Caenorhabditis elegans: one gene and its partner. The protein of the gene in region 1 interacts with the protein of each later gene in a pairwise test. Each region holds a gene or a part of one and is shown in the gene's direction. Other genes may lie near its edges. The genes, in order: osm-12 and dyf-3.

Region 1 (5,037 bases):
AAAATTCCTTATTTTTTGTATTTTTTAATACAAAAAATTCCAAAAAATCCTTTAAAAAGCTCTAAAAAATCCGACAAAAGTCCGAAAAATCCTTTAAAAAATTCCTTATTTTTTGTATTTTTTAATACAAAAAATTCCAAAAAATCCTTCAAAAATCGTAAAGAATTCCGAAAGGTACTTTAAAAAATTTCAAAAAAATATTCCAAAAAATATTCCAAATATCCTTAAAAATTCCGAAAAATCCTTTTAAAAAAATTTCCAAAAATCCTTTAAAAATTCCGTTTTGTCGATTTACGAGATTTCAGGGGATTGTTTTCGAATTTTTTAACATAAATATTCGGAATCAGGCGCAAATTTAGAGTAATTTAAAAGTATTTCCCTGAAAAGTTCAAAAATATTCTTTTTTTTCAGTAACAACTCCTGCTGCTCCGGCTCAAGAATCTACAGAAAGTTCCGCCGCTCAAAAACGTGAATTCCTGCCTGAACACGACGAGGATGAAGCCCAGGATCCGAAAAGACCACGTCTTGAATGATTTTTTTTTCTAAAATTAATATTTGATTTTCTAAAAATGATCTCCCTTTTTTTTTAAACGATTATATATTGTTAACCCGTTCCATTTTATTGAAAAAGTTTGACTTTTTTATTCAATAAATTTTTGTTTTTTTTTTAAAATTAGATCAACCCCTGAAATTTGCAGTTTGCAGGAATTAAAAAAGAGGTGATTTTGCAAGTGTGTGTCGATTTACGACAGAATTTTGTACTACACGTGGACAAGCGCGAAAGATTTTTTCGTCGGCAAATTGCCGATTTGTCGGAAATTTTCGATTCCCGCGAATTGCCGATTTGCCAGAAATTTTCAATTCCGGCAGTTTGCAGATTTGCCGGATCATTACAGTTCCGGCAAATTCCCGTTTTGCCGGAAGTTTTCAATTCCGGCAATTTGCCAATTTGCCAGAAATTTTCAATTCCGGCAAATTGCCGATTTGCCGGAAATTTTCATTATCGGAAAATTGCCGATTTGCCGGAAATTTTTGATTCCAGCGAATTGCCGTTTTGCCGATTTGCCGTAAATGTTCAATTCCGACAATTTGCCGATTTGTCGGAAGTTTTCAATTCCGGCAATTTGCCAATTTGCCGGAAGTTTTCAATTCCGGCAGTTTGCTGATTAGCCAGAAATTTTCAATTCCGGCAACTTGCCAATTTGCTGGAAATTTTCAATTCCGGCAAATTGCGTATTTGCCGGAAATTTTCATTTTCGGCAAATTGCCGATTTGCCGCAAATTTGCTGATTTGCCAGGAATTTTCAATTCCGGCAATTTGCCGATTTGCCGGAAATTTTCATTTTCGGAAAATTGCCGACTTGCCGGAAATTTTTGATTCCAGCGAATTGCCGTTTTGCCGATTTGCCGTAAATGTTCAATTCCGACAATTTGCCGATTTGTCGGAAATTTTCGATTCCCGCGAATTGCCGATTTGCCAGAAATTTTCAATTCTGGCAGTTTGCAGATTTGCCGGATCATTACAGTTCCGGCAAATTCCCGTTTTGCCAGAAATTTTCAATTCCGGCAGTTTGCAGATTTGCCGGAAATTTTCAATTCCTGTTTTTTTAAATTATTTTTTGAATTTTGGTGGTCACCAAGTTTGTAGTATAGCTTTTAGATGACATACGTCTCATGTGAAATTAAAAAAAAAAACGGCAAATTCGGCAAATTTGCCCAGCTTGGTAATTTCGGCAAATTTGCCGCAGTGCACTGTTTTTTAGACTCGGTCATTATGGCCCATTTCCTAAGCAAATACCTACTACAATCTTTTTCAAACACCTCGCTTCTCACCCGTCACCCCAATGAGCCACCTGACCCCTCTCCAGCTCATGTTGCCATAGTAACTCGACAACACCAGCGACTCGGCGGTTCCTAGTTCTCCATTTATTGAAATCTTGGATTTTCTGCTCACATTTCTCTCAGCTTCCACTGTAAAAAATGCAAAATTATTCGAGAACTGATTTCGCTCAAGTCGGCACTACTAATCGGGGTTGCATGCGTGTTATTCCGTCGGATAAGGAGAAAGAACACGATTTGGTAAGGGTTTTTTTAAATACTTTAAGCATGTATCAGATATATACACGGGCTTCTAGCCTTCCTCTTTGAATTTTTCGCGCTCCATTGACAATCACCCCCGCCGCACAACGTGTACTCCACACGGACAAATACATATAGTTTTACAATCGAGCCGCGACGCGACACGCAACGCGCCGTAAATCTACCCCAGATATGGCCTGGCTTAGTTAGGCAAACTCTTCCATTTAAATTTATGAGGGAGGCCAGAGATACGTGAAAGTTAAAAAAAACCAATTTGATGTTTGCAGATAGTAGTCGGTGGACAGAACGGAAGCTTAATCTGTTTATCGAGAAAATCGAATGACACCACGGTGAGTAAATTTTTTATGATTTTTTCCAGACAGTTTCAGATTTTTCTGGTGGAGTACACATGCTATGTAGTTTTCTAAAACAGGCGTGGGAAACAAATGCCGTTCGGCAAATCGGCAAATTGCCGGTTTGCCGATTTGCCGGATATCAATTTCCCGGAAGATTTTAGAGGGATAAGACGGAAACACTTAAAATTGTGCCTTTTTTAAAGTTTTTTCGGTTTTCTTTAGACATTTTCATATGTAGAATTTGCTTATTTTTCAAAATAGATGTAGAAACATTCATAGGATGCGTACAATTTTGCCCTTTACAACTGAAATTCTGAAATTTCCAAAAAAGAAAAAATCGGCAAGTCGGCAAATTGCCGGTATATCGGTTCTACCCAGTTTCTACCCATTGTCGCACATTTTCGTACTTCTAGCAATTTTTGTACTTTTTACGAAAATATTCGGGAAATGCACGAAGCGATTTGCCGAGATATGCCGAACTTGCCGGAAATTTGAAAAATGGCAATTTGCCGACTTTGCTGTTTGCCAAAAAAGCTCAATTTTGGCTACTTGTCGATTTGCCGGAACTTTTAAATTCCGAAACTTTGCCCGTTTGAAGAGATGCTGGGAATTTTCAATTCCGGCAAATTTCCGAATTTCCGATTTTTGCCGGATTTTAATTTAAAAATTTCCAGATAATATTCAAAACTCAACCAGGATACCCTGTTCAATCGTTGGCTCTCGGTGGCCCGGCATCGTCGAAAAAAAAGGATAAAATCTTTGTCGCATCACAAAATACGGTTCGAGGAGTCAATCGAAAAGGAAAAACATTTTTTTCGATGGAAACTAATATGGCTGAAGTTGCGAATCGAATGTTCGTACGTGGATTGGATGTGGTTTTGACTGGACGAAAAAGTTACAGTAGATATCATGACACGGTGGATTCGAATGTAGGTTTTTGCACCACCCGTTGGTCATAACCAGATTTTGTTTCTGTTGATGAAAAATAACATTATTTTTTTTTGAATTTTTTAAAACAATATTTCGGAAATTCGAATAATAGAAAAACGAAAATGTTTCAACATTTTCCAACACCCTTTTTGGTGTGTAGCAAATTTTAACGTTTGCCGTGCTCGCCAAGTTCGGCAAATTTGGCAAATTTGCCGCGCACCTCTGGTGCACATCGCTAAACTAACTGTGGTTAAGCTCTTTACCATTCAAATTTGAGTTTAATATTTAACTTAAAAAAGAAAAATTGATCTCCAAGCATTGAACAACTGCCCTTTTTTTAGAATATAATAGTTTCGAATATTTCCAGAAAAATAATTTTTTTCTGCCCAAATTTTTGCCCAAAAGATGACAGAAAAATGAAAATGGGCAAAAATAAAAAGTTGTCTAAATTTGTTTAAAAAAAGTAATTTATATATGGAGAATTCAGAAAATCTAGGTTTAACCCGTCAAAAATCATTAGAAAGTGGCAAAAATGGACAATTTACGGCAAAAAACGCAATTTTGAAACTAATCTAAAATGGTTAATTTTGTAGTTAGAGGACTCAAAATTGATCTCCGAACGCTAAAAAATTGCCCTTTTTCAGAATATAGTGGTTTTGTACATTTCCAGAAAAATCTTTTTTTTTGCCCAAATTTTTGCCCAAAAGATGGCAGAAAAATGAAAATGGGCAAAAATAAAAAGTTGTCTAAATTTGTTGAAAACGGGTAATTCATATACGTAGAATTCAGAAAAACTAGGTTCAACCCATCAAAAACTAATAAAAAGTGGCAAAAATGACAATTTATGGCAAAAAATGACAATTTTGAAAGTCCTCTAAAATGGTTATTTTTGTAGTTAGAGGACTCAAAATTGATGCCAGAACCCTAAAAATTTGCCCTTTTCCTATTTCTAATAATTTCCAAAAAAATATTTTTTTGCCCGAAAAAAATTGGGCAGTCATTAGATGGCAGAAAAATGAAAATGGGCAAAAATAAAAAGTTGTCTAAATTAGTTGAACACGGGTAATTCGTATATGGAGAATTCAGAAAATCTAGGTTTAACACATCAAAAACCATGAGAATGTGGCAAAAATGGACAATTTATGGCAAAAATTCACAATTTTGAAACTGTTCTAAAATGGCCAATTTTGTAGTAAGAGAGAACTCAAAATTGATCTACGAACAAATTCCAGAGTTATCTTTGCACGGAAGACATTCATGATGTTGTAAGCCTTGTATTCGAAGAAGCATGGGGGAGTCGAGAATACACTTCAATTCTCGCATGTGGTAACTCAACTCTTCAAATCATTGAAGGCAACAACTTCGCCTATGATGTCCGACTCGATAGTGTTCCATTCACAGTTTCCCTTTTTATGGGCGATGGTGGTCATACGAAGCTTTTGGTTCTTTACGGAACAAAAACTGGCAGGCTGGGACTTGTTAGTGTACCTCAAGGCGGTGGAAAGATCCTATGGGAAATTGATACAACGTCGGGAGCTTGTGTCACAACAATTGTGTGCTTCAATGTGACTGGCGGACAATTTCCGGATATTATTGTGGGAAAAGAAGATGGATTGATTGAGATTTACGTTATTGATGAAACTGATCATGCACATTTATTCGGAACTTTTGT
Region 2 (5,179 bases), on another chromosome or scaffold:
CTCCGGTATTTTTCTTGGAAAAGCGGTGTTTTCAGAAAAAAAAACAAGAAAAAAAAACTTTAAAAGTTATAAATTCCCTATATTTTCTCAGTTTTGGACCGATTTTCCGAAAAAAAATTTCCAATTTCTGATAAAATTCACTGATCAGAAAGTGTTCAGTGATAAGAATTCTTATCAGTTGATGATTTTTACAAATTTTTTCTTATCAAAATGGCGTGAGACCATGTGAAAAACATGATTTTTCAGCATAAATTCAACGAAAATGGCTGAAAAAATGAAATTTTCAGTGAAAAGTCGAGAAAAATCGGATTTTAAAGCTAAAATCAGCTCTGTTGAGGTAAAATTTGTGTAGAAATTTCAGAAAAACCCTGATTTTCAGTCAAAAATCTAGAAAAATCGCATTTTTTGTATCAGAAATTGACTTTTTCCTGAAAAATCAGTGTAAACCGAGGAATTTCGTTCTAAAAATAGCAGAAAGCGTGATTTCTCACGAATTAGTCAAAAATTTGGTGAAAATCTTCAATTTTTCGGCTATTTTTTCGCTGAAAATCGCAATTTCCAGAAAACGTGGCACATTGCCAAGACCGTACCCTTCCGGCGGACATATAATATGTTTTTGCGGCTGAATTAATAATCTGATCGATGGCTTGCATGGAAAAATTGAATGTCATGAACTCGCAAATTGGACGGAGCCCGGCGAAGGCAGCACCGACGGCGATTCCTGAAAAAAATGTGATTTTTTTGGAGGAATTTTCAGTTTTTTCTGAAAAAATTTTGCTAAAAATTGAATAAATCGAGAAAAATGCGAAAATTCGAGCTTTTTAGACAATTTTTGCTGAAAAATTGAATTTGCGCGGTCTTAGAGCTTTTCTGCAAATAACATTGGGAAAAATCTGATTTTTATATAAAAAATGTGATTTTTCAGCTTAATTTTCGACAAAATTTTGATAAAACCGGAATTTTCTGCGAAAAATATCAAAACTCCGTAATTTCCGAGCTTTTTGCAGTGAATATTGAAATTTTCAATAAAAAATGCCGAAAATTAATTGTTTTTAGGAAAATTTCCGAAATTTGTTCGAAAAATCCAATTTTTAGTGTAAAAACTGAACTTTTGAGAGAAAAGATCCAAAATTAAAGTAAATTTGGACACTTTCTTTTCGAAAAAATGGTGCTGTTTTTGGGGATTTATTAGTGATTTTGACGTTCCGAGTCAACATTTCTCGATTTTTCTCGATTTCCAGCGTGATTTCCCGTACCAGCGAATCCCATTTCAGTAATTGGAGTGTCGACGACTCGCTTATCACCGTGCTTCTTCCACAATCCCTTGGAAATCTTGTAAGCTCCGTCGTACTGAGCAACTTCTTCTCCCATCAGGAAAACTCGGTCGTCACGTTTGATTTCCTCGTCCATAGCCTGATTTAGGGCGTCACGGACGGTCATTGCTGAAAAAATTGGCGATTTTTATGCTTTTTTAGGTTAAAATTCGTTTTTTCCGTTCAATTCTTCATTTTTAGCCGGTAATCAGCGATTTTTTCGTTTTTTTTCCATTCATTTTTTGCAATTTCTACTCACTGGAAGCCGCTCTGGTCGAGGTGCCAGCGAGACGAGCCACGAACAGGTTTCCACACTTTCTCAGAGCCATTTCGACCGGGGATTACCTGAAAAACCGGAAATTAATTGAAATTTTGAGGCTTTTGCCGGAAATTTTGAGAAAAATAGAGAAAAACTAGGATTTTTTAAAAAATTTAGGTATTTTGATTCAAAATTCTCACATTTTCATTAGTTTTTCTGCTGAGCATATTGTTTTAATGCTAAAAACTCAAAATTTAGACCAAAACCCTTCCAAATAGAATTTTACTGGTTTCTAGGGTTTTTCACTACGATTTTTCACATTTTCACCACTAAAACAGGCGGAAATCGATAATTTAAACCATATTTCCCCCGATTTTAATAAAAAATCAATGAAAGATGCGCAAAAAAGCAAACAAAACTCGGAGAAAATGCGCGCGGCGCTCCTCTCGAAAAATGTGTGCAATATGGCGTCGCGGTGTTTGCGTACAAAACGCCGGTTGAGCTGCAGAAGCTCGTCGACCGTAGTCTTTGGGGTGTTTGCAGGGAGTTTCTATGGGAACGGAGGAAATATTGAATGGGGGAATAGGCAGGCAATTGTTGAGAAGAGAAGTTTCAATTGAATTCTGCACGAAAAATGTCGTATCGTGAGCTGAGAAGTAAGTTTTTAAGGCTTTTTTAATTTTAAATTTGAACTTTGAGATTTTCATATGGAAAAAATAAGTGTTGCATTAAAATCTAGGTGAGAAATGTTTCTAAACCATAAAACGCAAAAAAAAGACCCAAAATACACTTAAAATTGAATTTTACAAAATCATGGCCGAGTTCGGATTCTAGTCCCAAATTTCGCCAACTTCAGACCTGTGTGAGATGACGCGAAGCCTCCGATACCCTCGCTTGATGTCAATTGAGAATTTCCGGACCCCAAATTTTCAGCTGGTGGCTGAATTGCTGGAATGGATCGTGAAAAAGTTAGTTTCCCAGTGAAAAAAATCGTTGGCCGAAAAATATAGAAACTTTGGCCACTAACTTCCAAGCCTACTCTAAGCCCAAAAATTCCAGATTTGAGCCCGAATCCAACCTTGACGCACACGAAGTCCAAACAGAAGCTGATCGGGTCGCTTTCATCAAGAACGCGGTACTCCTGATGCTCCAAAATTCGAGAATCAAGATGAATCCAAAAAAGTTGTACCAGGCTGATGGTCATGCGGTGCAGGAACTCCTACCGGCCATGAAGATCCTCTACCAGGCCAAGGCAGAGGACCCGAACACTGATAACTCGCCAAAATGGACCCAAGTCAAGAATAAGCTCTCGTCGAAGGTGGGTCTCACAGGCCACCAGCCTGAAAAAGCCTGAAAAAACTGTCGAAAGTTCAGATGCAGGAGGTCCGAATCACTCGTCAGCTATCATCACAACTCCCGGAAACAGGTGCCCTGCTCAGTGAGCTGCTGTCCCGGCAGGAGTTCATATCTCAGCAACACGAGAGAGCCGCGTCACGGGCGGTACCACTTGCTGAGGCCGAGAAGGTGCTGCAGGCAACAGTGCAGAACATCGCTCAGGAGACTGAGCAGCTATCGGTAAGCTTGACGGGTCACGGAGCTCCTGGTGGCGTAGGTTTGAGCTCTGGCGTCTTAGAGTTTGAGAGATTGGCCTGGCTCGATCCTGATTGTGAAGCGGACAGTAAAAAGCTTGGACTTCTTCTAATGGCGTGGGCTTGGTCAAAGAGTGACTTGAACTTTGATTCAGACTTTGAAGCTTCATTACCTGAACTCTAGTGGTATATGCAGGGCTTCAAGCCACTAGACCGGGCCTGTGCATCTTCTCCAGAAGCTCAGAGACCCCTAGCCTCGAGGAGTCCGCTGAGGATCTTGGAGCTGAAGGAATAGACTGAATTAGCCTAACTGGCTTGAAGCAACACCCACTCCACTCGAACCCACGTGATTGTTCTTAAAGCCCGGAGGGTCTGAGTCACTTACAATTAGGTTAGGTGCAGGCTCCCCAGCTAACCTCTCAAATTTTCAGAACAAGCTGAACAACGTGGCCAGCGATGAGGCAGAGCTCGACGAGAAGATAGAGCGAAAGAAGCGAGAGTACGAGCAGTTGCAAAAAAGATTCGCAAAGCTACAGTCCTTCCGACCTCAGTATATGGACGAGTACGAGCGGTTTGAGGAGCGACTGAAGAAACTTTATGAGGTAAGACACCGGATACCGAGCTGCCCTGTGAAGCCTAAGCTTCCAGGTCTACGTGCTGAACTTCCGCAACCTGTCCTATCTGCGAAAAGTTCATGATGACTTGGCGAGGTCCGAGCGGCAACGGCAGGAGGAGCTGGAGAAGGCGATGAGGATGGCCGTTGAGAAAATGCGGCTGGAGCAGGAGAAGAAGGATGCGTGAGTTTTCATGGAAGTTTAGAACTTCCGACTGACATCCTTATTTCAGCATCGGACTCCACGACGACGACGGCTCCGACGCCCCCTTGGTGGACAGGAGGCAGTGTAAGTGTTAAGTTCTATCAGCTCCACAGGTTTATTAACCATTTCCAGCTGTTCGCAAGGTGTACGGTAACATGATGGGTGGTGATGCCTCTGATGATGATGAGGACGATGAGGATGACGAGGATGATGAGATCATCAGGATGGATGATAATGTCGCGCAGCATCACAAGAGAGAACTTCATCGGCAGGAGGAGGATGAGGAGAGAAGCGAGGCGGATTATATGGTCGGGGTGAGTGATAAGGTGCTTGGGAGGGTAGATGATCGTCTCCTCATGGTCAGGTGGATTTAGCTGCTAGATCTTTGGAAGTTCAGAAACTTCCACTAGGATGCGTTGTGACGTCACATTTTTTACAAATGCCTCCTGTGACGGCAACCTACCGTACCCCGCAGACAGGCCAACAACACCCTGTCGGTGTATGAGCTTCAGAAAAAAGGCTGTGACGTCACTCCAGTGAAAATTAAGTTTCCCGCGATTTCTGGCCTTAAGCTTTGCCTGGTCGTAATCTAAACCAGAAGCGCGTACCCGTGGAAACTAAAATTATCGATTTTCAGATCACCACCGCCCACGTGGCCGACGACGCGAAAAGCGACTTGAGCAGTGGAGACGACTTCTGAGCTTCTTCTTGTGTTTTTTTTGCAAAACCCTTAAGTTTTTATTAACCCCAGAAAATAAATGCACCTTTTTATTACATATTTACAATTCAACAAAACAATTAGAGATCGTCAAAAAATTCAAAAAAGCATAACGGCAATCTCGGCGGGATCCACTCGGTACCTAAAACTCGAGGTTTTACTATTACTACTAGGTGATGACGTGGAATACGTTGCGGTCGACGATGCCGATTGAGAGTACTGTGGAGGAGATGAGCTTGAGCCATAACCTGGAAATATATTTTAGGTTATTGCAGAAAAATAGTTTTTAAAAAACTACAATTTTTTGTGAAAATTCCACAAAATTTCTGATTTTTCTGATTTTTTTTCAGAAACTTTCTGGCCAAAAATTACAAAAAACCCAAATGGAATTCTGAAAATTTTTGAAATTTCAGATTTTTTTAGCCAAACAACTCGGAAGATCCCAGAAAAGTTCTCAGGCAAAAAAATCGGAAAATCTTAAA

The links.
Region 2: the proteins of osm-12 (region 1) and dyf-3 interact in a two-hybrid assay, tested with the Caenorhabditis elegans proteins (one large-scale study listed by BioGRID).

The regions. Positions count from the first base shown.
Region 1 is NC_003281.10:12,199,394-12,204,430, reverse strand, and holds the start of osm-12 (BBSome complex member bbs-7), read left to right. Parts: upstream 1-1,893; 5' UTR 1,894-1,980; coding exon 1,981-2,079; intron 2,080-2,366; coding exon 2,367-2,429; intron 2,430-3,109; coding exon 3,110-3,364; intron 3,365-4,597; coding exon 4,598-5,035; intron 5,036-5,037. Other genes in the region: Y75B8A.13 (titin), read left to right, coding at 412-533. UniProt on the Caenorhabditis elegans protein: Component of the BBSome complex. The BBSome complex is thought to function as a coat complex required for sorting of specific membrane proteins to the primary cilia.
Region 2 is NC_003282.8:3,396,151-3,401,329, reverse strand, and holds dyf-3 (Clusterin-associated protein 1 homolog), read left to right. Parts: upstream 1-2,206; coding exon 2,207-2,228; intron 2,229-2,428; coding exon 2,429-2,540; intron 2,541-2,631; coding exon 2,632-2,890; intron 2,891-2,946; coding exon 2,947-3,147; intron 3,148-3,592; coding exon 3,593-3,763; intron 3,764-3,809; coding exon 3,810-3,958; intron 3,959-4,007; coding exon 4,008-4,063; intron 4,064-4,111; coding exon 4,112-4,293; intron 4,294-4,616; coding exon 4,617-4,679; downstream 4,680-5,179. Other genes in the region: pdhb-1 (Pyruvate dehydrogenase E1 component subunit beta, mitochondrial), read right to left, coding at 591-721, 1,257-1,442, 1,573-1,642; C04C3.14 (uncharacterized protein), read right to left, coding at 4,797-4,839, 4,888-4,945.